Linked DNA regions of Lonchura striata. The protein of the gene in region 3 interacts with the protein of the main gene of each other region in a pairwise test. Links are inferred from orthologs where the notes say so. Each region holds a gene or a part of one and is shown on either strand. Other genes may lie near its edges. The genes, in order: C4H4orf46, KANSL1, CDR2 and TBC1D22B.

Evidence for each region.
Region 1: the proteins of CDR2 (region 3) and C4H4orf46 interact in binary tests that used the Homo sapiens proteins (3 or more experiments, as listed by UniProt). The two-hybrid records come from large-scale screens. The link is inferred for Lonchura striata from reciprocal best matches to the Homo sapiens genes CDR2 and C4orf46.
Region 2: the proteins of CDR2 (region 3) and KANSL1 interact in binary tests that used the Homo sapiens proteins (3 or more experiments, as listed by UniProt). The two-hybrid records come from large-scale screens. The link is inferred for Lonchura striata from reciprocal best matches to the Homo sapiens genes CDR2 and KANSL1.
Region 4: the proteins of CDR2 (region 3) and TBC1D22B interact in binary tests that used the Homo sapiens proteins (3 or more experiments, as listed by UniProt). The link is inferred for Lonchura striata from reciprocal best matches to the Homo sapiens genes CDR2 and TBC1D22B.

The regions. Positions count from the first base shown.
Region 1 is NC_134606.1:40,736,394-40,743,785, reverse strand, and holds C4H4orf46 (renal cancer differentiation gene 1 protein), read right to left. Parts: upstream 2,713-7,392; 5' UTR 2,707-2,712; coding exon 2,545-2,706; intron 2,453-2,544; coding exon 2,297-2,452; 3' UTR 524-2,296; downstream 1-523. Other genes in the region: ETFDH (electron transfer flavoprotein-ubiquinone oxidoreductase, mitochondrial), read left to right, coding at 2,937-2,970, 4,843-4,989, 5,392-5,621, 6,527-6,608, 6,900-7,018, 7,336-7,392.
Region 2 is NC_134627.1:8,850,476-8,857,561, reverse strand, and holds the start of KANSL1 (KAT8 regulatory NSL complex subunit 1), read left to right. Parts: upstream 1-4,073; 5' UTR 4,074-4,231; intron 4,232-7,086. UniProt on the Homo sapiens protein: Non-catalytic component of the NSL histone acetyltransferase complex, a multiprotein complex that mediates histone H4 acetylation at 'Lys-5'- and 'Lys-8' (H4K5ac and H4K8ac) at transcription start sites and promotes transcription initiation.
Region 3 is NC_134618.1:10,739,974-10,747,133, forward strand, and holds the start of CDR2 (cerebellar degeneration-related protein 2), read right to left. Parts: upstream 3,002-7,160; 5' UTR 2,856-3,001; coding exon 2,777-2,855; intron 1-2,776. Other genes in the region: transmembrane protein 180-like, read left to right, coding at 6,496-6,648.
Region 4 is NC_134632.1:4,739,982-4,746,996, forward strand, and holds the start of TBC1D22B (TBC1 domain family member 22B), read right to left. Parts: upstream 3,016-7,015; 5' UTR 2,977-3,015; coding exon 2,921-2,976; intron 1-2,920. Other genes in the region: protein PHTF1, read right to left, coding at 5,401-5,421, 5,771-5,896, 6,469-6,564, 6,955-7,015. UniProt on the Homo sapiens protein: May act as a GTPase-activating protein for Rab family protein(s).

The DNA.
Region 1 (7,392 bases), on a different chromosome or scaffold from region 3:
TATACAGACTAATTCACTCATGTAAAGGCAATAGTGAAATTGTAATGATAGTTCTGATACAGGTTGGACAAGCCTTGATCAGCCTGGTCTACTGGGAGGTGTCCCTGCCCATGGCAGGGAGAGGCTGGGACTAGATGATCTTTAAGATTCTGATTCAGGCAGAACCAGAACTATGATGAAGAAATAAACAAAAATTAGAGGTTTGTTTTGTTTGGTTGGTTTTTTTCCTAAGTGAGTATCCCCCAGCTTTAACTGGTGGCAGTTTCCCCCGTCTTACTCTGGAAAGACTGGACTGAGTATACCAGCACTTTGCTGCTTCTCTTTTCCTCACTTTTCTTAACAGGCTACCAAAAGTTGCTCACCACAGCTTGCAGACTTCAACAAATTCCAGTCTTAAGATGTATCTCCATGAACAAGGGAGATGGTCAAATAGAAAATTATCAGTCTTAATAGGTGTCACGGCTCACTTTGAGCATGACTGGATGCATTATAGTTAGAGTAATTGAAAGACCGCAGACATTCAGCACTTTTTGAAGCATTATTTTACTTCCCAGAATTACAAGGGTAAAATACAAAATATCCTATCTGAAACAATCCCCTAGAGGCAGTTCCTTCACACATTTTTACTGAAGAGAATGTTTTCTATTATGAATTATTACAGCTTCCCTTCTTCTTTCAGTACCGTATTCAGTCTGATGGCCTAGAAGCCCAAAAAGGTAAAAAAAAGCTCTTTTTTCTGTGTTGATTTGAAACTATTTAAAATTAAGTTAAAAGATACTTACAATGTTTGCACTTAACTTCTTAGCAGTATAAGAAGTAGAATTTTGAAAAAGTGTGGCTCACACTTCAACTGTTTACAGAACTTTGGATTATCTTTGGATTTGAAACTGAAGATTGTTAAGCATCTTGTTTCCACTACTGTATGTTCTATTGAAATAAAGTATTATCTGCTGAACAAAATTACTTCTTTTCCAAGATGTCTAGCAACATTTCGGGTTGTAGGGGTTAAAAACACCTAAGCAAAATCCTGCCACATGGATTATCTTTAGCTAGGACAATTAGAATTCAATTCAATAGAACTTCCTTACTCAGGGGCCATCCCTCTCAAGGACTGCAACTGCCTTTGGTGAGATGTACAACAATCCCCGACCTTGCCATTACCTGGTTTTCACTCCACGTGATTATGGTTATATTCACTGTCACCTTTGTTTCTATCAGTAACACAATAATAGTAGATACTTCATAATTTTTGCAACTTCTTTATTGTTTTGATAAGCAAGCTGCAGTGGGTCTTCCTCAAAGTCCTGTAAGTAAAAACAAGTCATAGCAGAGTCACATTCTCCTGCAGCCTGCCATTGCATCTCAGCATTACTTTTTTTCAGTGCCTGGTAAAGGTACAGGAGTGTCAGGACAGCTATTTATTACAGCTCAGCCATCTTTCAGACCAAAAGGTTCTATTAATTCTAAGCTCTAGACTATCAAACTAGTCACTACTTAAGGCAAAGATAAAAAACAGGACCAAATACTGAAAAAGCTCTGAAGTGCTTCCCCAGCGACAGGAGAGAATACATGTCACAGATTCTATTCTAACTAATAGAAGCTTTTACTTAGAGATCAAAATAATTCATCCTATCAGTAAACAATGCTGCTAAACTTCTACCCTGCAGATATATATTGTCCATGATAAGGCACTTTATTACAACAAAAGGTAGGGTAAAATTGTTTGCAGTAATAAAACATCTTGCAAAAAAGAATCTGCAGCTTTATTGACATACATTGTAATACTGCTAAAAATAGTAAAGTTTGGGATATAGAATTTTTCTACAGCTCATAAATAAGCCACAACTTGCCGCATTATCCCATACTCAACATAAAGAAAAAGTGTGTGTAACAAAAAACTGAAGTTGATTGAAGTTTTTCTGGGGTTGGCCGGGTTTCTGCTGGTGACAGCTCTTAAAAAGGAAGGCTGACAATCCTTTATCACTTCCCTACAAGTAATGAGTTCTGAACGTAACACACATACTTTGTATCTACCACACTAACACGAAAGAGATAAAAATGAGAGAATAAGATCGCTTGAGCTTCAACGAAGAATCTAAAAGTCAAAACTGATTCCCTAAACGAAGTTTTTTTTTTCTTCGGTAGACTAACATAAAACGTCCATACGAGAGCCCCCAAGTATTTGTGAAAGAGGTCGGGGGGAACACAAAACTCCACGTGAGGTCCCCAAGGCAGCGGCCGCGAGGAGCCCCGCCGCAGCGCGGGCCGGGCGGGCGGCTCGGCGGGCAGGGCCGCGTCAGCCGCTGGGCTTCAGGGACTCGTAGCCCTCCCTCAGCAGGTCCCGCCACGTCCTGAGGAACCGGGCGTTCTCCGAGCACCTCGTGGCCAGCTCCTCCACCTGGGCCGACACGGCCGACGTCGCCTCCAGGATCTTCGCCAGCGAGAAGGCGGCCTGGAGGGACGGCAGAGAGGTTGGGGGTCGCCGGCGCCCGGCAGCCCCCCCGAGGGGCCCGAGCCCGCCCGAGGGCAGCGCGCCGCACTCACATCGCCGATCTGCAGCTCCACCTCCTCCAGCAGCTCCCGCGTGTCGCCGCCGGGCAGCTCCGGCGGCCGCGACCCCTCGCTCCCGCCGCGCACCCTGCGGGGCTGGGCGCCGGGCGAGCCCTCGGGCACCGCCGCGGGCGGCAGCGGCCCCGCCTCGGCCATGTCCCGCTCGGCGCTCCCGCCGAGCGCCGCCCACGGCACGCCCGGGCCGCTCCCGCCGAGCGCCGCCCGCAGCGCGGATGGGCGGCGGCGGCCGCGGGCGGCGCTGGGAGCTGTAGTCCTGCCGCCGGGACGGGGCGGAGCCGTGGCCGGCGCGCAGGCGCGGCAGGGCCGGGGCCGGCGGGGTGTGCGCGGGGCGGACGCAGAAGCGAGAGGTGCCCGGGGCCGCTGCGATGCTGCTCCGCCGCTGCCCGTCCGCCGGCCGAGGTAACGCGCCGGGGCCGGCTGGAGGGCCCGGGGCCTCGTCCCGGGCTGGGCAGGGCCGGGCTGGGACGGCCGCTCGTGCGGCGGGTGGGGCCGGCGGCTGGCGCGGCGCCGAGGCAGAGCAAAGGTCGCGGCCGGGTCGCGCCGGTGTCCGGGCGGGCGCGGGGCCGGACCGGGGCCGGCTGCGGGCCCGCGGCTGCCCCGCGGCTCCCCCTGCCCGGGGCCTCTGTGCGCCCGGAGGCGGCGGGACAGCGCCGTGCGGAGCGCTGCCCGCGGCCCGGCTCTGGGCTGCCGACACGGGCCGCTCACCTGCGGCGGCGTGCCGAAAGAGATGGGCGGGATTTTTGAGCGGCGCGAGGTGTCACCCGCTTTAGAGGGTGAACTAAAGCACTGGCACGAGTGTCCTTGCTTGGGAAGTAGTTGTGGCGACAGCATCCCGACAGCTGTTACTGAAGAGCTGCCGCAAAGTTTCTCCTTGGCCATGTAGGCGTTTCCCATCGCTTGTCGAGTCCCTGCGCTCTCAGTAGCGTCGTGGCCCAGGCACTGTGTGCTTGCTGGGGAAGAATCTGCCCGTCCAGCGTTTGCACCCACCTCTGTTATTATCAGAGGTGTTCGGAGCAGAGTTTCACTTCTTTTGCATATGTGCAAATTAATTGATTTTTTATATATATATATGCTGTGTGATTCTTAGTACCATCAGTTATGGTCAAATAAAAAAAATCCTGAAAGTTAAGTTAAAGTTTCATAATATATATATGAGTGTAGCTGTTACCAACCTTATAGAATGCTTGTTCTCAGATCCTGCTTGGTTGCAGGTAAAGGATAACTAAGAATTATGAGGTGATATGATAATAGTTTTTATGTTATATTGGTTAAGGTACAAAATTCTTGTCAAGGAGCCAACATGGATAATAATTGCTACCTCGCATTTAGAGACCTCTGTTCTGTCACCAGGACACAAGATGCTTGTGCTGACCTTGCCAATTGCCATTCTCAACTAAATATCTCAGTCATAGCACACTGGTGATTTCACTTATGTAGTTTTGCAGAAATACTCCACTTTAAATGTGGTACTAGTCTTCTTTATCCCTGAAGATAGAGAATTTTTTAAGGAAGGAAAATTATTAGTCAACGTACATTAATTCACAGACCTTTTAACTATAACTAGTTTTCATGCTAGCATTTTTTATTACAAATCACATGCATATTATTTGTTTCTAGAAGAGGGAAATGATGACATGTAATAGCCCTCTGAAAAGATTCCTGGTTTGATAATTTGAAACTTTGTTTTTCATCCATTTCCTTACACAGAAATTCTAATTTGTTCTCACAACAATTATTGTATTTGCAGCAAAGGTAATGGCTACCTGTATCTACTGTTCCTAACTTTGGCTAAGCATACTTGGGTTCAAGTCTGTGCTTTTACTGCAGACTATGGTGTGTACTTTAGAAGCATCATGTGTTGAGATGTCAGAGCTAAACTTGCCTGTCCTGTTTCTACTGTTGCTTGGTCATTTTTAATGCAGCCTGAAATAAACCTTTCGAAGTTCAAAATTAAATCAGAACTTAAAATATGTTTGGCACCTGTGTATACATGCATATTATCCTATGTCAGCTGTGCATGGCTGGCCTGTGTACTGAGTAAAGAATGCTTAAAGAGGAAGCTTATTTTTTTTTCCCTGATAAAAAAATTACACATCATCCTCCTTACCTGAGAATTTAAAAATCTGTGTTTATGGTTCCTCATCTTTACATCACCTGGTAGCCCTTTGGGAGGGGGGGAAGCTGTTATATTTGTTGCACTACTTGTGTCTCTGAAATTTTGAAAAATTTGGAAAACTATTGATTTGACAAAGTTGTTTCTGGTTTTTGCAGCACGTCAGTGCATTCATGCTTTAAAATTGATAAAGAAAGATTGCCTTCTATCGGTGCGTGTCTCACGATGTGCCTCTACCGCCTCTGTGCCTCGCATAACTACACATTACACAATTCATCCTCGGGACAAAGACAAACGATGGGAAGGTAAAAACATTGCATTCTTTAAATGCTTTGTTATTATTATTATTATTATTAATCATTGCTGAGTCTTAAAGACACTAAAATATGTTGCTGGTTTTTTCTCTTCATGGAAATTCTCTATGCTTAAATACAGTACTAATATTTCAAATGACAATTTTGCTTGCAATCTCACAATGAGTGTCTTTAGTGCTATAAAATATTATCAGAAGAAACTTTATGCTTGTTTCCATAAAGAAAATATACAAGCAGCTTTTGGTTTAGTGATTATCATAAGATCTAGTACTAGTCAGTATGTATCTGCTGTTTTTTTCAGTTGCTCTTACCATGAGGGTTTAAGTTCAGTGAGAGAGAGGCTGGAAGAAATTAGAGATTGGCTTATGTTATTATCAATTTTTTCTATTGAAGGGGTAAACATGGAAAGATTTGCAGAAGAAGCTGATGTTGTCGTTGTTGGAGCAGGCCCTGCTGGCCTTTCTGCAGCCATTCGACTCAAACAGCTGGCTGCTGAGCACAGCAAAGAACTGCGTGTTTGTCTGGTGGAAAAGGCTTCTCAGATTGGTGCACATACATTGTCTGGTGCTTGTATTGAGCCAAGGTCCTTAGAAGAACTCTTTCCAGACTGGAAAGAGCGAGGGGTATGTATGAGCATGTCAACACCAAAGTTCATTACTAGATTGTAATGAACTTCATATTTGACTGATTCTGGCACGAATTAGTACCTGGTAGCATTAGTAATTAATACCGTTTTAAAATACATTGATGGAACAAAACAAAAATGGGTACCTTCTTTTTAGTATGTTTCCTGTAGTTCAACAATGCTAAATGTTTTCTGTCTACACAGACATGCTGTGGCCTTTGCTCTTTTCTGTAGCAGTCCTACTGCATATACACAATCTGAATGGTGCAGCCTGGGGTGCCCTGCACTTGCTGCCTTTGTGCAAAATCCAGCTCTTGTGTACAAGCAGGATGTCTGGTCCTTACCAGTGACAGATATGCTCGATCTGTGCAATAGCTCTTCCTGGAAATGGCACAGAGTAGACTGGCTTCTGTGCAGATACTGTGGTGTAACAAAGGCCTAAGATGATTTTAGGAGGGAAGTCTCAGAACAGCCTGTAACAAAGGCCTAAGATGATTGTAGGAGGAAGGTCCCAGAACAGCCATCTGACTTGCAGACTGCTGCCTGCTTTCACCTGAGAGATGCAAGAAGTCAGCCAACAGCTCTTTGGTTTGCCTTATGGTGATAAATCTGCAACTTGAACTGCCATATTTAAAAAGGTCTAGAATATTGATGTAGCACAGGCCTGTGTACAATAGATGTTATTTGCAAAGCTGTATTTTTTTTTTTACTTCAGTAGTTGTGTTGATTCTTTCCTGATGACTGCATTATAAAGTACTTTATTTGCTCTTTTGTGATACCTTCCCATAGAAGTGCTATACTAAACCTGTACTCTACTGCCAGTTTGATTGTTTGATTTTGTTGTTTGTGTTGTATTGGCGAAGAAAATATAACTCTCTGCTTCTTCTATTTTATTTGTTGTAGGCTCCACTTAATACTCCTGTAACTGAAGACAAGTTTGGAATTTTAACAGAGACATCTAGAATTCCAGTGCCAATTCTTCCAGGTAAAGTTTACTGAGGGAGAAGAGAGTCAACTTCCTCTGTGTCTTTTTGGAGACTTCATGAATCCATGAACTTCTCCATGAATCAAAAGAAGTTTGATTCCGTGTAGTGCAGCAAGTGTATGTAGAGTATAATAGGTTACAGTGATACACTCTGTGTAGGTGATGGCTCTGATAACACATGAGATTAATTTTGAAGGTAGTAGCTGTAGATGTGACATCTACTGTATGCAGCTTTGGTTATTTTGCTTAGTGTCCGATGTGTTATATCTGTGTGTGTCTTTTTTTGCCTAGGACTTCCGATGGTTAATCATGGAAATTACATAGTACGTCTGGGCCACCTTGTGAGTTGGCTAGGTGAACAAGCAGAAGCTTTGGGTGTTGAGATATATCCAGGCTATGCAGCAGCTGAGGTACTAATGACATCAGTGTGTGTTTATGAAAAGTGGCTTAGGAACCCCCTTCAGTGCAGTCATGATCATTTGTACATGTGCAACATTCCTTTTAAGTGATATGTATTGTGAAAACTCTGTTTCTCTGTCTAAATTCCCTGGCTCAGATCCAGCAAAGTGCAGGTGGATCATACAGTGCATGAATAAATACATAATCTTAATGTTTGACCATTTAAGTCATACTGCTTAGAAGTTTTGCTTTAGAACTTTTAATATATAGATTCAAAATACAGTTTCATTACAATGTTTTGTGTTTCTTTGTTTAAATATTTCCAAAGGTACTTTTTCATGAAGATGGTAGTGTGAAAGGGATAGCAACCAATGATGTAGGCATT
Region 2 (7,086 bases), on a different chromosome or scaffold from region 3:
GAGGCATTAAAAGAGGTTAAACGTGCCCTGCACTTTGGATCAGCTGGGTCTGGAGGGCTGATGGGTTGTTGATGGTGGAGCGGGGATCTCACCGGGGATCTCCCGGCGCTGGGGCAGCCCCGGGTGCTGCCCCTCCTGAGCCTTCCTGGGACCCGGAGCCTTCCCTGGGACCCGGAGCCTTCGTGGGGCCCGGAGCCTTCCTGGGGCCCGGAGCCTTCGTGGGGCCGGGCTCGGCTCTGCGCCCCGGCCTCTCCTGCTCTGCTGCTCCAGGGCCCCACATCCCTCACCAGAGGAGTCCGACAGCACCTCCAGCTAGGGTCTGCGGGCAGCACTTGTGGAATAATTACCCTGTTAATTGGCTTCCTTTCTCTTCCCAGCATATTTTCTAAACAAAAAGCAGGAGGAAGCAGGTGCTATTTACTTTTCCATAATGAATGTTGTTCATGTGGGGACCAGAGACCCAGGAATTGTGGGGCCCTTTTTCCTTTTTATTTCTTCCCTGAAAACTGCTTACTGCAGTTCAACCCCTTGGAAAAAGCTCTTAATTGAGCTGGGATGTTCAAAGGATGTTTTGTGCTATTTGGAAGATCTAATACGTAAAAACATTCCTGGCTTTGTATGTTCATCCTACCTTAAAGGCATTTTCTTTTTTTCCCAAGAATCCAGGGTTGCATTTAGCCCTCGCTGCTTTTACATTCTAAGGAAAGACACAAAATTAGTATTGAAGGACTAAAATTTGGCTCTTTGAGGAGGTACAGAGAGGAAGAGGCTGAGCATGGAGGCACTGGCAGGCAGGTGAGCAAGTGTTCACTGAAGAGAATTAATGAACTGTCACTTTCTTACAACAAAACTGGAGGAATGCAAAGCGTGGGTGTGGTGTTACTATTTGCATTGAAACAATGTAATTTGTCCTTGATTTTTTTTTTTTTTTTTTTTTTTTTTGCTTTTCTTGATTTTTTTTTAATTTCAAAAATTGTACAGTCCTAGGGGGAAAAAATTCTTTTCTGTTAATATATTTGCAATTCATGAAAGGATGTGGAAAATCCAAATAAATTACTTTTAAAAGCAGGCTTAGCCCCAGGTGCTTTGGGTCAGGGGTGGGATTTGTCCTTCAGAAGCTGGGCGAGCCACAGAGGTTGGGAAAGGTTTAAGGGCACCTTGGGGTGCACAGGGCTCTTTTCTGTCCTGTGCTACCTGAGCCTCCACGTGTCACCTGTAAATCTCCCACAGCCTTCCACGTGGGCTGCAGGGTCCTGGCTGGAATTTTGGGTGAGGTGGGGGGTGTGATGTGGGTGTGAAATGGGTGTAGGGACCTGGAGCTGCTGCAGCAGGTCCAGAGGAGCCCCGGGGCTGCTCCGGGGCTGGAGCCCCTCTGGAGCCAGGCTGGGAGAGCTGGGGGGGCTCTCCTGGAGAGGAGAAGCTCCAGGGAGAGCTCAGAGCCCCTGCAGGGCCTGAAGGGGCTCCAGGAGAGCTGGAGAGGGACTGGGGACAAGGATGGAGGGACAGGACACAGGGAATGGCTCCTGCCATGTGTCCATCTGCTGCCCGAGGGCAGGAATGAACGGGATACTGGGGAGAAATCCTTCCTGGTGAGGCCCTGGCACAGGCTGCCCAGAGAAGTTGCTGCTCATCCTCACTTTCCATCCTGCAGCAAGAGATGCAAAAAGCTCTTGGGTATGGAGCAGGTTAGTGTTATTTTCTTTTTTTCCTGCCTTCTGTAGCAAGTCCCCACCCTGTGGCTGCAGCTGTTGTTGCTCAGCAGAGAAATTAATTATCACAGTCTCTTACTGTTCCAGACCTGGAGGAAAAGCAGAAATTCCTCCTGCTGCATGTAGGCATCTTGGATTGAACCTTTTATTGCTCATTTTGCCCAACCTAATCCAGTCATTTCTGAGAGCTGAGTTTGGTGTACAGTGCTCAGTACAAGCAGCACTGAGATGAACCCGTTCCAGCTGCTCCCCCGTTTTCTCCCATGTCCTGATGGTCCTGGCCATTTGTTCCTGTCTGGGGTCACTGAGTGCCCACCCCACAACAAGAGCCGAGCTGTTCTGTGCCCCACTGCAGCCTCTGGTGTGGGCTGGGGCTGGCTGATGCAGCTGGGCTCTGTGTGGTGGCACCAGGAGCTGTTTAGGAGCACCTACATCTCACTGAGGTTTGCACTCGTTCTCTTGGTCACTAACTGTTGCTGCAACATCTTATTTTCTGTCCCTCTGCCCAAGTCTGTGACTTTGTTTGAGTGAGAGCTGATCCACGAGCACAAACTGCTTTTTATTTCTAGTGGAGCAGAACTGTTTTTTTCTAAGGCAGGGATCCCAGTGCTTTTAGACTTTGTCACCTGAGAATAAGGTCATAGTCTGGATTTTCCTGGATAACCAGGAAAAACAACCAGGTTGTTTCATGTTCCCTGAGGAAGGGAGAGCAAGGACAGTGACTGCAGCTGCTCTGTGTGGATCAGGATCCAAACACACTTTGAGAGTGTGTTTGGAGCATCTCAAACTTCCTTCCAGTCCTGAATGGGGCTTAGAAAAAAAGAGGGAGAGTAACCTTGTACACAGGTAGATAGAACAAGAAGGGGAACCACTTCAACCTGGGAGAGAATTAGATTAGATATTAGGAGGAAATTCTTTACTCAGAGTTTGGCAAGGCCCTGGCACAGGTGCCCAGAGCAGCCCCTGGATCCCTGGAATGTCCCAGGCCAGGCTGGATGGGTTTGGAGCAGCCTGGGCCAGTGGAAGGTGTCCCTGCCATGGCAGGGTGGCGCTGGATGGGCTCCGAGGTCCCTTCCCAGCCAAACCATTCCAGGATTCCATGATCCTCTCCCAGCCCTGCTGTCCCAAGAGTGAGCAGTGAAGGAGCTCACCTGCATTTTGGCCTGTGGGACATGGATCAAGTCTTTTATTGGAGTTATACCTGGCCCGTGACTGGATAAAAACTAAAAGACGAATTGAAAAGGCAAGAGTGGCAGCAGCTGGAGGGCTGTGCCCACAGCAGCGCTCAGGAGCAGCCATTGGGGAGTTTTCTGTGTCTAGAGGAGATGGCAGTGCGACGGCCCCGGGGTCACCGGGGACCGGGGGGCGTCCCGTGCCTCGGGGACAGGGCGAGCGGTGCCACGGCCCCGCTGCCCCGTGGGACAGGGACACGGGCCCGGTGCCACCCGCGGCCAGGGCCCGGCGGGACCGCAGCCCTCGCCACCCGTGCCGGGGCTCGCCGTCCCGGCGGGGCCTCCCGGGCCCCCGGCCGGTCCCTCCCCGCTGCGGGACCCGCGCCCCCCGGCTCCCGCCCCGGTGCCACCCGCGGGACACCGGCTCCCCGTGTCCCCCCGCCCGGTGCTCCCGCGGCCTGGCCGGACCCGCGGCCGCCCCGGGCGGGGTGGCGCGCCCGGGTCCGCCCGTGGGGGCCGGGCCCGGGGCCGGTGGCCCGGGGGGCGCGGGCGGGGGGGGCGCGGGGCAGGGGCCGAGCGGCGGCACCGCATCAATCACCGCCCGCCCCGCCCCCCGCGCTGATTGACGCGGCCGCAGCCAATGGGGCGCGCCCATGCCCCGCGCGCAGCCAATGGGCGCGGGGGAGGGCGGAAGGTGCCCGCTTGAAGGCGGCGGAGCGGCGCAGGTAGGAGCGGGCGGGGGGCGCGCGGCGGCCGCGGGCCGGGGGCGCGCACGGCCCGGGGGTCGCGGCCCCGGCCCCGCCCCGGCCCCGCCCCGGCCCCGCCGTCCCGCGACTTGGCTGCGGGGGCCGGGCCGCGGCGGGGCCGGGAGGGGCGGGCGGCTGCTCCCGCCCGGGAGCCGGGGGTCGCGGGCAGGGTCGCGGCGGGCCCGGGGCGCCGGGAGCGCTCCGCCCCGCCGCGCTGCCCCGCGGGACCGGGCCCGGTCGGCTCCGAGCGGAGCGGGGTCCCCCCGCCCGCCCCGCGCCTCCATTTTAGCCCGGGGAAGCGAGGCCGGGCCCGGGGGGCTTCTGGAAGGATCGGGGGTGGCGGCGGCCCCGGGCCCGCGCCCCGAGCGCTGCCGGGCCCGGCCCGAGCCCGCGGCGGGATGGAGCTGACGGCGGGAGGGGGCGGCGGGCCCCTTGTGACAGCCCTCTCTGTCCCCAGCTCCCGCACTTCCCCACCTCCTCGAGTAAATCGGTAAGAAACTTGCATCCCGCCGGCGGCGGCTGGAAGGATCCGGAGGCCGTCCCGGGCTGCCCACCTGGAGCGCAGGTGTGAGCGAGGATGGGCCTGGCCAGGATGCCCAGCAAGGTACGTCCCGCCTGCCCCGCTCCCCGGCTGCCCGGGGCTCCGCTCCCGGCGCCGGCCCGCTCGGTGTGCCCAGCTGCCCTGCCGGGTGCTGCCTGGGCTCCTGACCCTGCAGGGTGACGCTGGAGCCCTGCACGTAGTTTCTTGGCTGATGCACAACTTTAAAATGGAGGTTTGGTATGATGGCTGGAAGTGTGGATTCATCCTGTGCGTGCACAGGGTGCTTCTCTCTCCAAAGCCATTCCAGTGCCTGTAGTGAAGAGATGTGGAGGCTCCTCTCAGGAGCATGTGTGTGTATTTTCAGGTGTTACCTGTCCTTGTGTGCCGCAGCATCGAGACATCAAGGCATGACTTGCCCAGAAAAAGAAAGATCTCCTGCTTTTTTTTCCCCTCTCTTTATTGTTTTCATCCTTAAACCCCAGGTTTACACTCTAAGGTCCTTTATACTTCCTGATTTGATCTGGTTTATGTATGTATTTATAGTATCAAAAGAGTTTTGTGTACACCTGTCAGAGGGGCTTTGTCCTGTGGAAACCAAAGGTCTAAAGCTGGAGTTTCCTGCTCACATTTCTGTTTCTCTGGTTTCCCGGTGTGTGAAGCAGCCGTGGTGCTCCTGGGTCCAGAGTGGAGCCTGGCGAGGCTTTGCTGGTGCTTCTTCAGAAAATTGGCCTCTTGCCTTGCCGATGTTATTGCACATTACAAATGTGTCCTAAACACTCAGGTACAGGAATTGAGCTCTGTGCAGCTGAATAAAACCTGAAGAGAAGTGCTAAAGGGAAGGATATTTCCCTCTTTTCATAAATCTACAAGTCAAAGCAGCCTGACTTTAGGCCAATTATTGAGGCTGAATTTAGACAAATTCTCTTGTAATGGGAAAACCAAAAATCTTATTTCAATCCGTTCACACTGACCCTACCCAAATCTGCTGTGGTATCTGATCTTCAGTCGGCCAACACAGCAGCAAAGCTCTTGCTCTTTGTACACGGAATAACACTGAGTTGTTTTATGGGCTTTAAAAGTGGAATTAAATCTCCCTGTTGTGGGTTTTGGCAGGAAGGGCCCCGGGAGGGTGCCCTGGATCCTCTGTGCCTCCCGTGAGCTGGCAGGAGCTGGGAGAAGGAGCAGTGCCTGCGTGTGCTGCTGGGGCACTCGGCGTGTCCGGCCACCACATCCCTCGGCAGCTCTGCTGCTGAGGGGTGTTTGCTTCTGGAGGGCAGATCTTGCTGGACCTTGATTTTTGGAGTGTGTTGAGCGTGTCACAAGTTGAATTGCTTTACTGCTCTGCTAGGATCTGTCTGAGGGCCTTTCTCACTGTGACCCCCACTTGTGCTCAAGCTCCTGGCACCTGGCATTGCCACAGTCTGCAGTGTTTTACTGTCACAGTTTGCAGTGTTCTATTGCCACAGTTTGCAGTGCTTTACTGTCACAGGAGAGACCAGCTCCGTTCCAGCCCTTGAGTTCTGTGAAGCCTCCTCAGAGGGGCAGGAGGTCTGTGGGAGCAGAGGAGCAGGAAGCCCTGCCTGCTCCTTCCCAGGGGATGTGCTGCTCCAGCTCTGCCTGTGCCCTGCTCACACAACGGGGACTCGCTGCCTTCTCCGCCCCATTGCCATTCCCCTGTGGTTGCCTGGGCTCCGATTCTCCCATGCTGGACTTGTGATAGGAAGTATTGGTATTAAGAGCAGGTAGAGTCTTGTTGTTGTGTTTTTTAGTGGCCATCCATTTTTCCCACATTCAGGATGTTTCCCAAACAGAAATAGCATGGGTTTAGGCTCAAAAGTCATAAATAATAACACTTAAGAGTTATTTTATGTACTGATATGCATATAGTTACTGTATAGAGACTATTAAATTTCTGAGGCAGGTCCAATCAGAGGAAGTGAGGAGGATTAATAGGTGGAAAGATGAGGTAACAATTAGGTGTGCATAGCTGGGTACACAGCCCTCACCAGATATTGTGTTTTGGGTGTTCTGGATGCTTGGCAGAACAGGACAGTTCGAAGGATGTAAAAATGGGGCTTCACTGGGGAGAGCTGCTCTTGTTCATGGGGGCATCTCCAGATCAGGAACATCCTGTGTGAGGGACAGGTAGGTGGCTGGCCCTGGAGTGGCCAGGTGACCAGTTGTAGCACAGTTTTGAGTGGGAAACAGACTGGCAGGACCATAGAAGGTACATGTGTAATTTTACACTGCACAGCAATTTCTGCTACTCATCTCCAGGTCAGGCTGGACGATGGAAGCTGCAGCTGTGTCTGTGCTGCAGGAAGATCCAGACCTGTACTGGAATGTCAAGCTGGAATCTGGGCTCTTGGTCTGTGCCTCAGCAGAAAGTCCTGCACTGCACAGTGAACAAAAGATCAGAAGCTTTATTGCACAGGAATTTCTTTTAACTTCCTCCACAACAGATTGTCCTCACTCTTCTGTTCCAGTATAAAACCACATTTGTTGCTACTTCTGCTTTTTAGCTGAGCCCTAATTCAAGGTAGATTAAAAAAACCAATAACACCAGAGGTTCGCACGCCATCGTAGGGTCCTGTGTCCCTAAAATTCTCTCTAAGCGGGGCGAGGAGATCAGGACAGAGTGTGCAGCTGCTGAGTTCCTCATGCTGTTGTCTTTCAGAAAAGGTATTTTTGTTACCCTTAAGAATAGCTAGTGTTCACTGTGTGACCCCGCTGGGTGCTGGACGTGGGGTGCTGATAACACACTGCCCGGCTGTCCTCCTTGCCACTGTTCCATCACTGACTTAAACCCACGTTCAAGGTCTCAACACCCATTTTCTTAAGGTACTGCATGAGAGTGCTGAGCCTGGGGAGTGACCAGCACTGAGGAGACAGCTGGGACTGCAAGGGACAGCCCAGGA
Region 3 (7,160 bases):
ACACACAATAAAACCTCAACTCTAGAGAAAGCAAGTACTGAAATAATTTAATCTCTTCTAAAATTCAGATTTTTTTTTTTTTTTGCATCCATTTTCCACAGTGTCATGTACCTGGAAGCCCTACAAAGAGCAAATTTTACAAGAGAGATGTGCCATGTATGTTTTCCAGATACAAAATGGGAAGTATTAATTTACATTTCTCTGGAGAGAGTTATGGTAGAACACTAGAAGCAGAATTGCATTTTCTGTTGTAAATTTATGCAAAGCAAAGCTAAATTCTGACAGACATGCCTTTTTCCTTTTCACCATAAAGACAGAAGCAGAGAGATTTTTAATAATGCAAAATGCATATATGCAAATCTAAAGATCTTTGTTTTAGTAAATCTGATTAGTTGTACTGGTGTTTAACAGCTCCATCAGAAATCTCCAAGACAAGACTTCAAAGATGTCTTCTGTGATGTTGAACAACCCTCAGCAGTGCTTCACAATCTCTTCAGACTGCATTACCATCATTGAAAAAAAGATAAAAACAATACCAAAATCCTTCTCTTCTGCTTATTCATAACCCACCTAACAAAATTATTAAGAGAATTTTCAGTCTAAAATTAGCCTAGTCTTTTAAACAGCAACAGGCACTAATTGTGCAAAATGTAAAAGTAAGCCTAGTGTAAGTTTACTTAATTGTAAAATTATTTTTTTTAATCTACTTAGTTTCCTATTTCCTGTTCTGTATTCAGAATACCCTCTGTTCTATAAAAGTGAGTAACAGCAAGATGCAAAAAGAGCAGTCCATATAAATTCTTTTTTAAAGGTCAGCATACTTCAGCAAACATCGCAGAAGGATGTCTGTTCCCATCCTCACAAGAATTCCATGAGCACTTTATGCATGAGCAGTATGCCAGAAAAGCCCATCTCCATTGTCTAGGCAAAAATCTTTGGTGCGTAGGAAGACTGTCGAGTTCTCCAAAACCCCTACCCTCATTTTAAGTTTCAAAGACCAATTGACAAGGACTTCAAGCATGTTTCAAGGTGCTTTCTAATGTTTTACAACCTAGGTTCTCATAGCCATACTCATCGGTTTTTAAACATGCACTGATTGTTTGGGTTGTGAAGAGTTTCACGAGACCTTGATAAGCACTTACTACCCTGTTTACACATCCGTGTGTCTTAGCCTTAGCAGCAGGAGTAGTATCCTTCAGAGCCCAGAAATAAAGTACAGCACAACATTTAAAAAACGTTCCTGTAAGGAATTTCTTCTTTGCATTTCAACTTGCTCATCACTTTATTTTTCTCTTTTTGCTTTTGGCAAGGCTATTCATGGCTTCCATTTAGGAAAAAGAGAGAATCCCCAGAAAGATTGTGTCCATGTGTTGAGGGTACATCAACCAAATCCCCAAAATGCACTAAACCTCTAGAATGGAATACTGTTTCTTAAAAGCCGACAGCAGAGTGATTATTCCACTCATTTTAATTAAAAGATGAAAGCAGAGAAACGACAAGAAGTCAGTTGTTATACATTGTAAAGTGTTTTTGCACATCTTCAACTCCATAAACACTGACATAGTAAAAACATTACTGAATTATGCCTTCAAACTTTTCACTCTCTCCCTTTTGACAGCAAACTGTAGTTTCAGGATCTTATTTTAACTGATTTGTTTGTATCCTAGAGCCAGGAAAACTTCAGTTTTGGGTGAGGAGTACCTAAATACAGCTTTCAGTTAGCTATTTTTTATAGCGTACAATTAGAGAGACCTGGCCTCGTCTCAAAAATAGTTTCTGCGGTCAGATACCTGATCTCAGTGTGAATACTGCTTAGCTTTCTCTATGGTTTACAGTCCAGCAGCACCCACCAATCCCAAGAATTAATGTATTTCAATATAAAAGCAAAACGTGTAAAACTGGAGTAGGTTTGCAGGAAGCCACAGCTTTGCACTCGCCTTTCAAAACAAACTCGGGATTAAGAACAAAAAGTAGAACTAAGTAACTTAAGTAAATACCAGTCATAAATGCCACTAAGCTCTTAAGGAAATTGCACATTCTTTCCGTATCATGCCTGTTAAAAGATTTTTAGTGCAATCTTGTATTCCTATGGCTCCTTACTCATTTGTGAAATGAACAGCATTTACGTGTTGCATGTAGTGTTTTAAGACCTACTGATGGAATTACATACAGAAGCTATACTTGTGTTTTTCTGAGGCGTAGCGGAGTTATTTGATATTTTAATAAGACAGCCTAAAGAGTTTCTAATAATGAACCTGCGACTAATCGAGCATTCCTACGACTACAACTTCATCGAGTGGAAACCCTGACAAAGAGCTCAACAGGGCGCAATAGCGCATCAGACCCCGGCGCTTCCAGCACCAGCCCTGAACAAGGCACCTTCACGTTCTGCGCAAGGTGCAACTTTCCGGGGAGCCGCTTCCCTCCCCCCGGGCGGAGAGGGACCCCGGCACCATTCCGCTGGGCTGCCGCACCTCCTTCCCTCAGACAAAGACCGCAGTCGTTACCGGTGACAGCGATCCCGCGGCGGCGGGAAGCGGCCGTGCGGGGATCCCGAGCTCCGCCGCTCCGAGCCCGGCACGACCGACGCGCCCGCCGCCGCCCGGCCCCGCCCCGCCCGGCGCCCCGCCGTGCCGCCGCCGTGCCGCCGCGGCCCCCCGCGCACAGCCCGCGCCCGGCGCTGCCCCGCAGCTCCTCGCCTCACCCGCCCCGCTCAACGCGGCCCCTGCCCTCGCACACCCTCCCTCACACGCCCCCCGCCGCCGCCCCGGCTCACCTTGCTGCAGGTCCTGCTGGTCGTACCAGGGCTCATCCTCTCGGATTTCGAACTCCTCCACCAGGCTGTCGGCCAGCATCGCGCCCCTTTCCCTCACGGGCGGCTGAGCCGGCAGCGCCCACCCCACGATGCCCCTTGCGCCGAGCGGGGCAGAGCGAGCCGGCAGCCGCTCCCCGCCTCAGCAGCCGCCTCCGGCCATTGCCGAGCGGTTCCGGACTTTGCCGAACCTCTCCCCCTTCTGGCCGGGCTGCGCCGGCGGCAACGTGGCAGCCGCTGCCCGCCCCCCGCCTCCCGCGATTCAAACACGGCATCCTCGCCTCGCCCCGCCGGCGGGCAGCCAATGGGGAGCCGCGCGCCGCACAGACCGAAAGGAGGCTACACCAATCATAACGCGAATCCATATCAAGCGACCAATGAGAGCGAAGAGAGGGTGGGCCCGGGGCAGCCGCGCCCCCCCGGCTCGCGGTGCGCAGCCTCCCGTCAGAAGAGGTGGGTCGGTGCCTCTGGAAAGGGCGGTGGTCGCCGGCGCTCGGGGACGTGCATGGTGGGGGGCTGTTACTGAGGGATGTCGGCTGCGGCTTGTGGCGGAGCAGAGCTGACACAGGCTGGGGTGGGGCAGTGCGACTTGGCGTAGGGAAAGCCGAGGCTCGCTGTTGCCCCGTGTTGGGAGCGCTGAGGGCAGAGCCCGTGAGGAGCAGCGTGGCGTGGCGTCCAGGTGCGGGCCGGAGTGCGGGAGGGAAGGGCGGACCGGGGAGCCTGCAGTCCGAAGAGGGCTGGCTCCATCCCCGCACCTCCCTCGAGCGGCCGCCGCTCGCTGTCGCCTCTTTACCGCACAAAGCGGAGGGAGCCGTGTGTCCTCTCCCGGGATCTGCTGAAAAACGAGCCGAACGTCCCTGTTTTTGACAGAGGAGCCCTTCCAAGGGTGCAGCCCGCAGCTCGGGCTCGGCGGGGCAGCCCGGCCGCCTCCGGGAGCGCCGCTGAGCGCCTCCCCTCAGCGCTGCCCCTCGGCACTAGCACCGCGTTCCTTCTGCTTTCCGTCCTAATGTGCTGCCAGTCGCGTCAGAGGGATGAGGAAGATCGTGCGTCCAACCAGTCTGTCAGGGCTGTGAGCATTGCACAGCGGTTTGGGACCCAGAACGGCAGAGCAGGATGGCAGCTAGTGCCCCTCAGGCAACGTTTGCTATTATCTCTCGGAATCCACTTTTCTTCTTTAGACTCTTGCTCTAATTTCTTTTAGCAGTTGTCATCCTGCTGTGGGAGAATCGCAGGTAATGTGACACTGCATCTCACTGGCCCTAACAGCCTGTTCTTTCGGCCTCTTGAGTATTAACACGGTTGTAACCACTAGAAATTTCTGAAACCCATTTGCCTTCTGTGAGTCACGAAATGTTCACCAGTGCTTTAACCTGCTGAATATAAAGGCTGACTATTAAGAAGAGGGAGGGGATGCTCATGCATGATTCCATTGTAGTGCTATTAAAGGGAACATCTGGGGAAGGAAGTGTGGTACCTCAACTTCTAATTGAACCTGTTTCATAAACAAGGTGCTTGACCAGATGTACCAATTAGGGTAGAGTTGTGTCAGATCCTGCATATTACAATTAGTCATGGTACTAGGGACCAGTTTGTGCATTGTAAGAAAATTTTTATTGAAGAAATACCAAACATCTTTCAAATTTTCTGAAACTGAGGGGACCAATTTTTTTTTTTTATTTGTGTCAGAAGGAATCGAGTAAAACAATTTAGAACTCATGCTGGTAAAGTTAGTGTGAAGCACTTGTATTCTTGGTGCTTGTGGAATTTGAAGGAAAGTAAAGTTTCCGAGTTCTCCATTTTGAAGACTTGTGCAGGGTGCTCCAGGTAGAAATAGAAGTGAAGTGTCTACTTTTCCAAAAGCCCTAATATCCACTATATAAATAATTCCGTTAAGTATATTTGTGAAGGCTTGAAAAAGCAAATGTGGCACTTGCCAATAACATACTCATTGTAATGATTTTCGTATTAATATCAAACTTATTTTTAAAAATAAACATTTCAATTTTACATCTTTTCAATAACCTTTTCCTGCATTTTAGGTTTCTCAGTAAAAGACTGTGAAACCAAACTTGCTGCAAAAATGCAAAATTTTCTCCCCTGAAAATGTATTGTCTTTACAGGTGCAGAAAAATAAGTTTGAAGATATACATAATGGTTATCCTTAAATATTTTTAAAAATCAGTCATATTCTTAGAAACAAATTTGCTTTAATAAAAGGAATGCTAGGCTTCTAGTTGTTTGTCAGCTTGACTTTTTTCTTAGCTTTGTTTCATATCACAGCATCTTATATATGCAAATGTGCATCCACAATTTATTTGCTCTTCAAGAGCTCATTTCCCGTGGTGGGGGGGATGGAAAACCTGCCTGTTCATCTTCCCAGTCCCTACCTGATTGTGGCTTTGGCATGGTCCTTGCCCGGTGATTCGGAAGTTCCTCCCTTCCTCTCTTCAGCCGCCTTGTAAACCTCAGGAAGGCTGGAAAGAGCCTTGGCTTTCATTTCCTGTTTCTTCCATGGTTATTTTTATGAGGAGTTCAGGGAGCTGCTTATAGAGCTGCTGATCAAGCAGATATTCAAAGTAGGTGTTTTGATGGACATGTGAAAATTGCATTTACGTAAAATTGTTGATATGCAGAGGAGCAAAGTGTGAACTATTGACATAAAGCAGGTTGTAAAGCTTTGCATAGTAAGGCTGAAATTTGAACTTGACGTATCAAAATTAATGGCAGCTTCCTTCAACAGATGTAAAAATGAATAAAGCCTCAATTAAAAAACAGATACCTGGGAGTAATTTTGTATTGGGCTTATAGAATCAAGTATGGTCAAAGGCTACTTTTAGGTAGCTATTAAATAGCTTTAAAAGGTAGAGATTCCCTGGAGCTGGCTCCTTTCATGGCACTGTTTACACCAAACATGCTAATTGATGGAAAAGATCAGCATCTTAAAAATTTGTTGGCTGAATCTCTGAATGGCAGATTAAAGAAATGTCTGATACTTGGGCATACATAAAATGGTGTGTTTGCTACTTGCTACGTTTTATTTACATGCACTCTTCCATACCATGGAAATGTTAATTTAAAGGTGTTTTGGTTTAATTGTTTTATGGTTTATTAGGTGAAAATATTGCTTCCATGGCTTCTTAACCATTAGTATTTTAAAATAGAAGGGCAAAATTTAGTATTTGTTTTGAAAGAAATACCTACGTGCATGCTGCACTTGACATTCATAGCATTGGAATACATAAAGAGTTGAGTCACTTCATTCCAACACAGTCCATAATTTTAAGAATATATAGCTAGCAAGAAAGATCTAAAATGTAAGTAATTACTTTGAACTCTACACCAAAATGAGTGTTTGCAAAAGTAGGTTTTTAAGTGGAGTCAATACATCAATTAGGAAGGGTTTCTTTCAAATTTTTGTCTACTTGTTCCATTGACTTTTAAGTACTGATTATACTTAGAAATGTCACCTAATAACTTATTATTTTGGGCTCAGTGTCTTGTAACTCAGTAAAATGTGTTTCTGATTGTAAAAAAAAAGGAAGAATGGGAACATTTTCCTCCAGTAGTTCAGCACCTCTGAAACGAGCAAATCCCCCATGTTATTTTAATTTGGAAAATTATTCTACTAATTGTTGTAATTCTCTTTTGTAACTTGAGGAAGAAGAGAGCTGTACTCTTGGAAGATGAAGATTCTTTGGGGAATTCATGCTAATGCACTGGCATATTCTATGACTACCTTGGGTGCTGGAATGATGAATAGCATTTTTAATTTCTACTACGTTAAGCTTTTCCTAAACCGATACAAAATTTCAGAAACGGCATTTCATGTAGCACAGGTACTGTACAATGGAATATTTTGATTACCATGTTGTGCTGTGCGTCAGTGTTATTACAACAAAGTGATTCTTTTAATGACAGATTAATTTTGAAATAATTGCAATTAATTAACAGTAAATTATCTTTGACTTTAGTTAATCCATAAGCAATGGAACTTATATATAAAGCACATAATTTACAGTCCATAGAGTAAAAATCTCCAGAGTTAATTGCTGAAAAGATTTTTACATTTCATAGCTTTAAGTAATTTTCTAAACTGATTTTGCACATCAGGTCCATAGATAAGTTTGACATTAGTGCTTTCCTATGAACAGTTTAAGTACTTGAATACTGCATTTATCCTGGAAGTCATTATCCATGTGAGTAACTCACGTTGTAAATGGTCTCCTGAAAGTAATGGGCCAGCTCATGTTTTGAATTAACCAACTGTGAGAATCATATCTGAGCTTTGCAGGATGAAAGCACAAATATAGAAGGTTTTGAAAGACTGGAGTCTTAGAGACAGTTTATT
Region 4 (7,015 bases), on a different chromosome or scaffold from region 3:
CCTTTCAGAGCTGGCACACAAGGAACAAGCTTCTCTTGGGTCAATAGAGCTGGCCTGGTTTCTAGGAGCTGCAGATGGTGCCCAGCAGTAAAATCAGCAGAGCCCAGCCACAGAAGAGAGGGATGGCAGCCTGGTGCAGCTGGGAACAAGCTGAGGATGCAAAAGCAACAGGTCCAGCTGGCAGGGGAGAGATGCAGAGAGCCAGGGAAGAGGCTGGAAACAACCACAGCACAGAGAGATCCTGGTGGAGCAGCCCAGCCAGGGGTGGGCTCACCACTGCAGTGGTTGTCCCTCGTGGCTGGAAGTCCTCACAGAGTTTATCCATCGAGGATTAAGCCTAGGACAGAATGTGATGACTAATGAGCACCTGGAAGTCAGGACTGCAATTAAGCAGAGGCACCTCCACGTGGACATAGCAAAGAGATGATGAGGAGTGAGAACAAGCCCTCCAGAGCAGCATTGCTTCCCAGGGACGTGTGGCAGCTCCCTGCAGCACAGCAGCCAGCAGAGCCTCTCTCTCCCATGCCCAGAACCAAACTCACACTGTCCCAGGATGTCCAGCAAGGTTCCTCCTCCCTGTCAGGGACCCACAGGCTGCCAGAGGGGAACTGCTTGACCAGCCTGGGAAGGCCTGGGCTTCACAAGACCCATGAAGGATGTGTGTTAGAGAGAGGAGGGGATGGGCAGCCAGTGCTGGGGGAGGAAACCCTTTCCTGGGGTTCTGAATCAATGTTTGACACAATGGCAGAGGGTGCCACCTGCACACAGCTCTTCTTGAAGCCTTACAAGCCAGACACTCTCCAAGAAGAATCTCAAGCTGATCTAAGCTGTGCTCCCAGCCTGACTGGACGAGTGCCCTGTTCTGTCCCAGTTTAAACCCTTTGGGACAGGCATTTCCTGCTCCCTGGATGCTCAGTGTAGGGTACAAGGGGTGACCAATGGTGTGAGGTACAAAGGCTGTGCTCCCTGTGTGACACCTCCCAGGATCATCACAGGGTGTGGGCTATTGACACTGCAGCAGAGCACAGCCTGAAACACCACTGCCACTGGACACACACACATTTACTTCCAGCAGGCTGTTTCTCCCCTTTTAAAACAGCATTTAAATAACCCCAGCAGACCTTGCCTGCCCATCTCTCTAAAGAGCAGGGAATAAACAACACATCACAATACGCCAGAGCACTCGGCCAACACATCCCTAGAAAATTACCAGGCAGAAAATTCCCAGTGCAAAAAAGCCACAAGACAGCGCTGTAAAAACAAAACAGCATTTACCAGTTCTAAACTTACACCTAAAATCCACCCTAAATCTACAGGGAGCAAAAGCAAATAAACTTTATCAGCAAATAAAAGCTAATACAACTAAGTGACCAAACACACAAAGTGTCATGGAAAAGGAAGCTAACACAGTATCCAAGTCCCTACAAAGCCTCCCTCTGCCAGATTGTCAGGGGAAAGAAAGGAGAGAGCCAAGAATCTGTACAGGAGGGTCTCTCAAAGCTCAGACAAAAAAGAAGAAAGGGAGGTTGATGTTTAGTGACCATGGGTGAAGGACATCCCACCTCACCCTCGGAATCAGGCTGCTGAGGACCTGTTGGTGGCTGTCCCTGGAAAGAGCCAGCACACAGGAGGGAACAAGGATGCAGGAGACCTGCCAAGCAGGCAGGCAGGAGGAGGAGAGAGCACTGCCAAAACCTTCCCCGTGCAGCGTCTCAGGCAGGCCCGGCTGCCGGCCAGACCGGTTCACCTGGTTTGAGTTTCCAAGGAAAGCTCAGAAGTCACCAAAAGGAGAAGAGGAGAAGGTGCTGTCCACGACCACCAGCTGAGAGCATGGCTGACAGCTTCGGGTAAGAGGCAGGAACAGCTGGGAAATAACCCAGGGAAAGCACAGGATTCTCCTCCCACAGGGGCAGCAGAGGAGGAACAGAGCCCCTTGCTCTCCCTCTGCTTACCACAGACATGTTCAGCCAACCTGAAGGAGCTGCACATGACAAGCAGATGAGTGAAAGCACTTCAGAAAGAGATATTCAACTGGGCCAGCAGGATTTAAAACTTACTAAGCATTTCAGACTGCACCCATACCCCAGGAGGCGAAGGGCAGGGTTCAGATAAGGCAAATGAGAGCAAAAGTGAGGAGCACCAGGCAGGAAAAGCACTTGAGAAGCCTCCACAGAGAGGCTGATGCCCTCTTTCCACATCAGCCTTGCTCCCGAGGCGCTGTAGGGAGCCTCTCCATCAGCACCAGCCTCTTCTTCCCAAGCACCATGTCAATCACTCATTTCGCTTGTTTCTCCCATCCCTGAGAGGAACATCACAGCCAGAGGAACCGAGGCAGGGGAGGTATAACCAGAGCCCTCCAAGTCCTTCCCCTTGAGCAGAGGGGGACCAGGAGCGCCATCCCACAGAGCTCAGGGTAATGTTAGGGTTACCAGGGACACCCCTTTGGGACACAGCTGCTGCCACCCAAGGCGACACCCCTGAGGACTTTGGGAAGGACGAGTTTCCTTCAGTTGCTGTGGGAAGGAGGAGGGTACAGCCCTGGCTCTGACCTGCCCCAAAGAGGCCTCCAAGGCATCCTGCTCCCTCCATCCTGCTTCCCACAGGGGGCACACAGGGCGTCCCCGCAGCCCCACACCGCCTGCCCTGTCCCACAGATGGGGGAGCAGCTCTGCCCCTGCCCCTGTCCCCTGTACATTGAACCTTCCCGCAGCAAAATCACCTTCCCACACCTGGGGTGGCCCTGGCATCCCCCCAATTCCAGGGAGGAACCCCCAACCAGCTCCTCAGCCCCGCAGCCGGGCCAGATCCTTCTGGCACCCCCGACCTTTCCCCTCAGCCCCCGAACCAGGCCGGGTGACAGCGCCTTCCCCGGCCGGAGCGCAGGGGGGGCGCGGCCCTCACACCCCTTCCCGGGGCTCACCTGCCCGGCAGCTTGGCGCTGCGCTTCCAGAACTGCCTGCCGCTCTCGGCCGCCATGGCGGAGGGCGGGGCGGGCCCGGCGGGCCGGCGGGCGGGGAGCGGAGACCCCCGGCCGGCCGGCCCCGGGCGCGGAGCAAGGCGCGGCCCCCGCAGCCGCCTCAGGCCCGCCCGCCCGCAGCCCGCGCCGCCGCCATCTTGGCTCCGGCCGGGCCCGGCGCCGCCATTGGCCGCTGCGCGCGAGGCGTCGCGGATCCACCAATCGCAGGCGGGCACAGCCGCGACGCGCGGGAGGGGGCGGGGCTTGCTGCGCCGGTAGGGTGGGAGAGACCATGGGGGGCGCGGGGGGGACGCGGGCGGCACCACCCGGCTCCTGCCGGGGGGGGCTGAATGACATTTTCGGGGTTTTTGGGATTTTCTGCTTTTCCAGGGAATTCGCGGCGCGGTTCCATTCCCGCCCTGGATCCCGCTCGCCTGTCGTGTGGGGTTTTAGGTCCGGTGAGGTGCCTGCTTCGGTCTGACACCTGGAGCAGTTTCTGTTCAGACTTTTAGAATTAAATAAATTAAAAACTTAATTTTTAATTAATGGCATTTTCTGCACCAGACGCTATTATTTGTCTTCTTTTTATTTATAGTGCAAAAAGCCCATAAATAGTGCTCCAGATTGGAGTAACACCTCTCATATTATTACTATTATTCTCCACCCCACTTACTCCCATATGGAGCACTGAAGAATAATTATTAATGAGTAATTATGCAAATAGTCTATTGTATATGCAAATTAAGGGACAAAATCTTTTCCTACTGCCACCCCATAGTAAATACCAAACACCTGCAGCACAAAGAACTGCAAAAAAAGCAAAAATAAATGAAAAGGAAAACCATACACATATAGAAAATAAGAGTATGTGTACATTGTACGAGTCAAAACCCAAACAAGCCCTACCTGTGTGGGATTTCCCTTCCCAAGACCTTCCTCTGCGCTTCCTGCATGCACATGGCCTTGGAATGCTACACAATGGCTGGATGTGCTGGGTGTGAACATTTATCTCCTGCACACACACTCCTGAGGTTCTGACTGCAGACACCTGCAAATCACTCATTATTTTTACACAGATCTTAAAACCCAACTCCAGTTCACGGCCTGTTGGTTCTGCACTGTCTAAACCACGGTCTTGGTTGGCTTTCAGGGGTGTGAGCCAGATTTTACCCACAAACATGTTGCCGTTCTGGAAAATAAATGTAATTTATTATTGGATATTGACCCCCCCATTCCAGTAACAGATGTTCAAAAAGATGGTATAAAAATCATCAATTGCTGTAGAAACCGTTGGTAACGATGAAGTGCTTGTCCTGCAGGTTTATTTGCACATTTTGCTATATAAAAATGTCACCTCCTTTTACATCTCACAATTTTTCCTTGTACAGAAAATAGCTGTAAACAATTTACTACCAAAAATTCTTCTGCCATTTCACCCTCCCGTGAAGGAATGAGAATTTCCTCCGTTTTTGCTCTTTTCACTACTAATAAATAGGAGCTATTGGAGCCAGTGAAATGTTGCAGAAGCCTTCAAATGTTCTCTTGTTCTCCACGACCTTTCTAAGCGTGAACCTGAGGAAGTCTTTGCCAAAACTGGTTTTTCCCCCAGATTTCCTCCCCAGGTGTTCAGGGTGAGGCTCTATTGCAGTGCTGGGCTGCAACAGCTGAGCACGGAGCAGAGCTGCTGTCCCAGCCAGGACAGGATGGAGCTGAGCATTCCAGGGAACAGATGTGGCAAAACATCCTCCAGCTCGTGAACCTTGCCTGTTGTGTGTTGGGAGTTTTTTCTCCTGTAACCGCTCTCCTCCAAAAACACTGATCATTTCTTTGCAGCACAAGCCACCAGCAGGATTTGGGATTGGCAGCAGGGAAGGGGAATTCAGGGGAATTCACCTGGTGCATCCTGGGCTGCTTCAGGATGGAGGCAGAGCCTTGAGCACACAGAGCTTTAGGGAAAGAAAAGCTCTTCAGCACAGCCAGCTCAGTGCAGCAAAGGATTCTCAACCTGGAATATTCCAGTGCAGCCCCAGGAAGGCTGACTGGGCCAGGAGGGCTCAGTCCCTCCTTGCCACATGCCCAGGGACCAGATTTTACAGAAACCTGGCCCCAGCCACAGCCACTGGTGTCCCCCCAGCTGCAGCTCTGGTATGGCTTTAGTGTTTGGTGTCCCACAGCAGTTCCTGCTGGTTCAGTGCCAGCTGCCAGGATTTGGCCCCATTAATCCAGTTTTTCTGTGCATGCCATGGAATGACATCACTGATGAGACCAGTTCACTCTGGATGTTGTAGAGCAGTAAAGCAGAAAGAAAACTTCTGATGCATACACTGAGAATCTGTTTAAAAATTGGAATTACAGATTTCTGTCAGTTTTCTTCTTTCTGCCCACACTGCTGGTTCTCTTCTCTGGTGTCTGGTGGAGATGCCCAGGGCTGATGTTCTGCCAGCTCATGGTTTAATTTTCCATAACTGCAAAGAGATAAGAAAGGGAGTTTGGGTCTAACAGGAATGGTCTTCATCTCCAAGCAACATTCTGTGTCTCCTGCCCATCTTGCTCTGCTCAGTGAGTTCCAGTTTCAGGACGAGCCACAGGAGGACTGGGATAAAGGGAGGAACCCTGGATTCTCACAGCTTCACCTGAAGGGAACTGAAACTGAAGTGAGCCCTGTCCTTCCCCCCAGAACTGGCTCAGGGAGGTGGGGACACACCCAGCAGGTTCTGGTGTTTGGGTTCCCAGTGCAAACCCAGGCTTCTCTCAGGGCTGTGGCCCCAGAAGTGACCCCAGAGATGTTCTACTGGCTGGCACAGGGACACTTACTCTGATATTGAACCCCAGCAGGTCACTGATCACTCCTGAGACAGCAGAGAGGATGACAACCCGTGTGATGTTGTAGATCAGTGGGTTCATGGTCAGTCCATACAGCCTGAATGGACTATCCAGCTCCTGCAGTGACAGGACAAGGGTCCATTAGCACTCCCAAACACCAAAGAATTAATCCTCTGACTTTTACCTGAGCACTGGCACTCCAACAGACTGGGCTGCCTCTGTGTCCTTTCTTAGATACAAGTACAGGAATTGTCAGTGCTCCAGAGACATCTCCTGCTGAATCCAAAATCTCTGCAGCACCCCAACTGCCCCAGAGCCTGACACTCCAGGCTGCAGAATCACCCAGCCCAATCCATGGACTCTCAGACTCTGCTCACTGCTTCCCAATCCTCTCCCTGCTGCTAGCAGTGAGCTCCAGCATTAGAGCTGATGAAGAAAAATGAGACTGAGCAGTCAGGAGAAGCTGTGCTCACCCAGCCTCTCCTCTCACTTAGTTAAACCACTGCTCATCGAGTTCTCAGCACTAATTACCCACACTGGCCTTGTGCTGCTCCCTTTCTCGTCCCAGCTGCAGCAGCACTGAAAAATCCCTCTGTGAGCACTAACTCCAGGAGCCAAGGGAAGGCCACATGACATTGCCATAATTCCCTGCTGCCATCAAATTCAACCATTCAGGCACAGCATCTCACCTTCAGCAGCTTAGTGGACAGTTTCAGCACATTGTTCACCAGAGAGAGCTGCTCCTTCTTGTTTGGCTTCTTCTCCATCTTCAGGTACAAGTTTATCTGTGACAAACACCACAGGCCAGGGGTTGATATTCCAGCACTAGCCCCCAGCTGAGTCCTATCTAAGGGAAATTGGAGCCATTTTTGCAGCCTGCTGTCACTCCTGAAGTAGTGAATTTAGCACTGATAACATAATTTTTTTCCAATTGTTTTGGCTAACACACATGAACCCAGAGACAAAAATAATCTAGAACTTTGAAGTTTGAGTCTGGCCCAACAGGACTAGCTCATCCCCCCCATGCTGACCAGTGCTTTGATGCCTTCTGGCCAACACAGGGGTTGATCCATACATTTTAAAGTTTGATTCCAGTACTTAAGCTGGTTTGAAATACAATAATTATACCCAAACAAACCACAAAGCCCAGGGGAGAACAAGCTGAAGGGAGCTACCTGCTCAGTGAGCAGGATGGAAATGTTGCTGTATTTTTTGTTGGTCTCAGAGCCCAGAGAT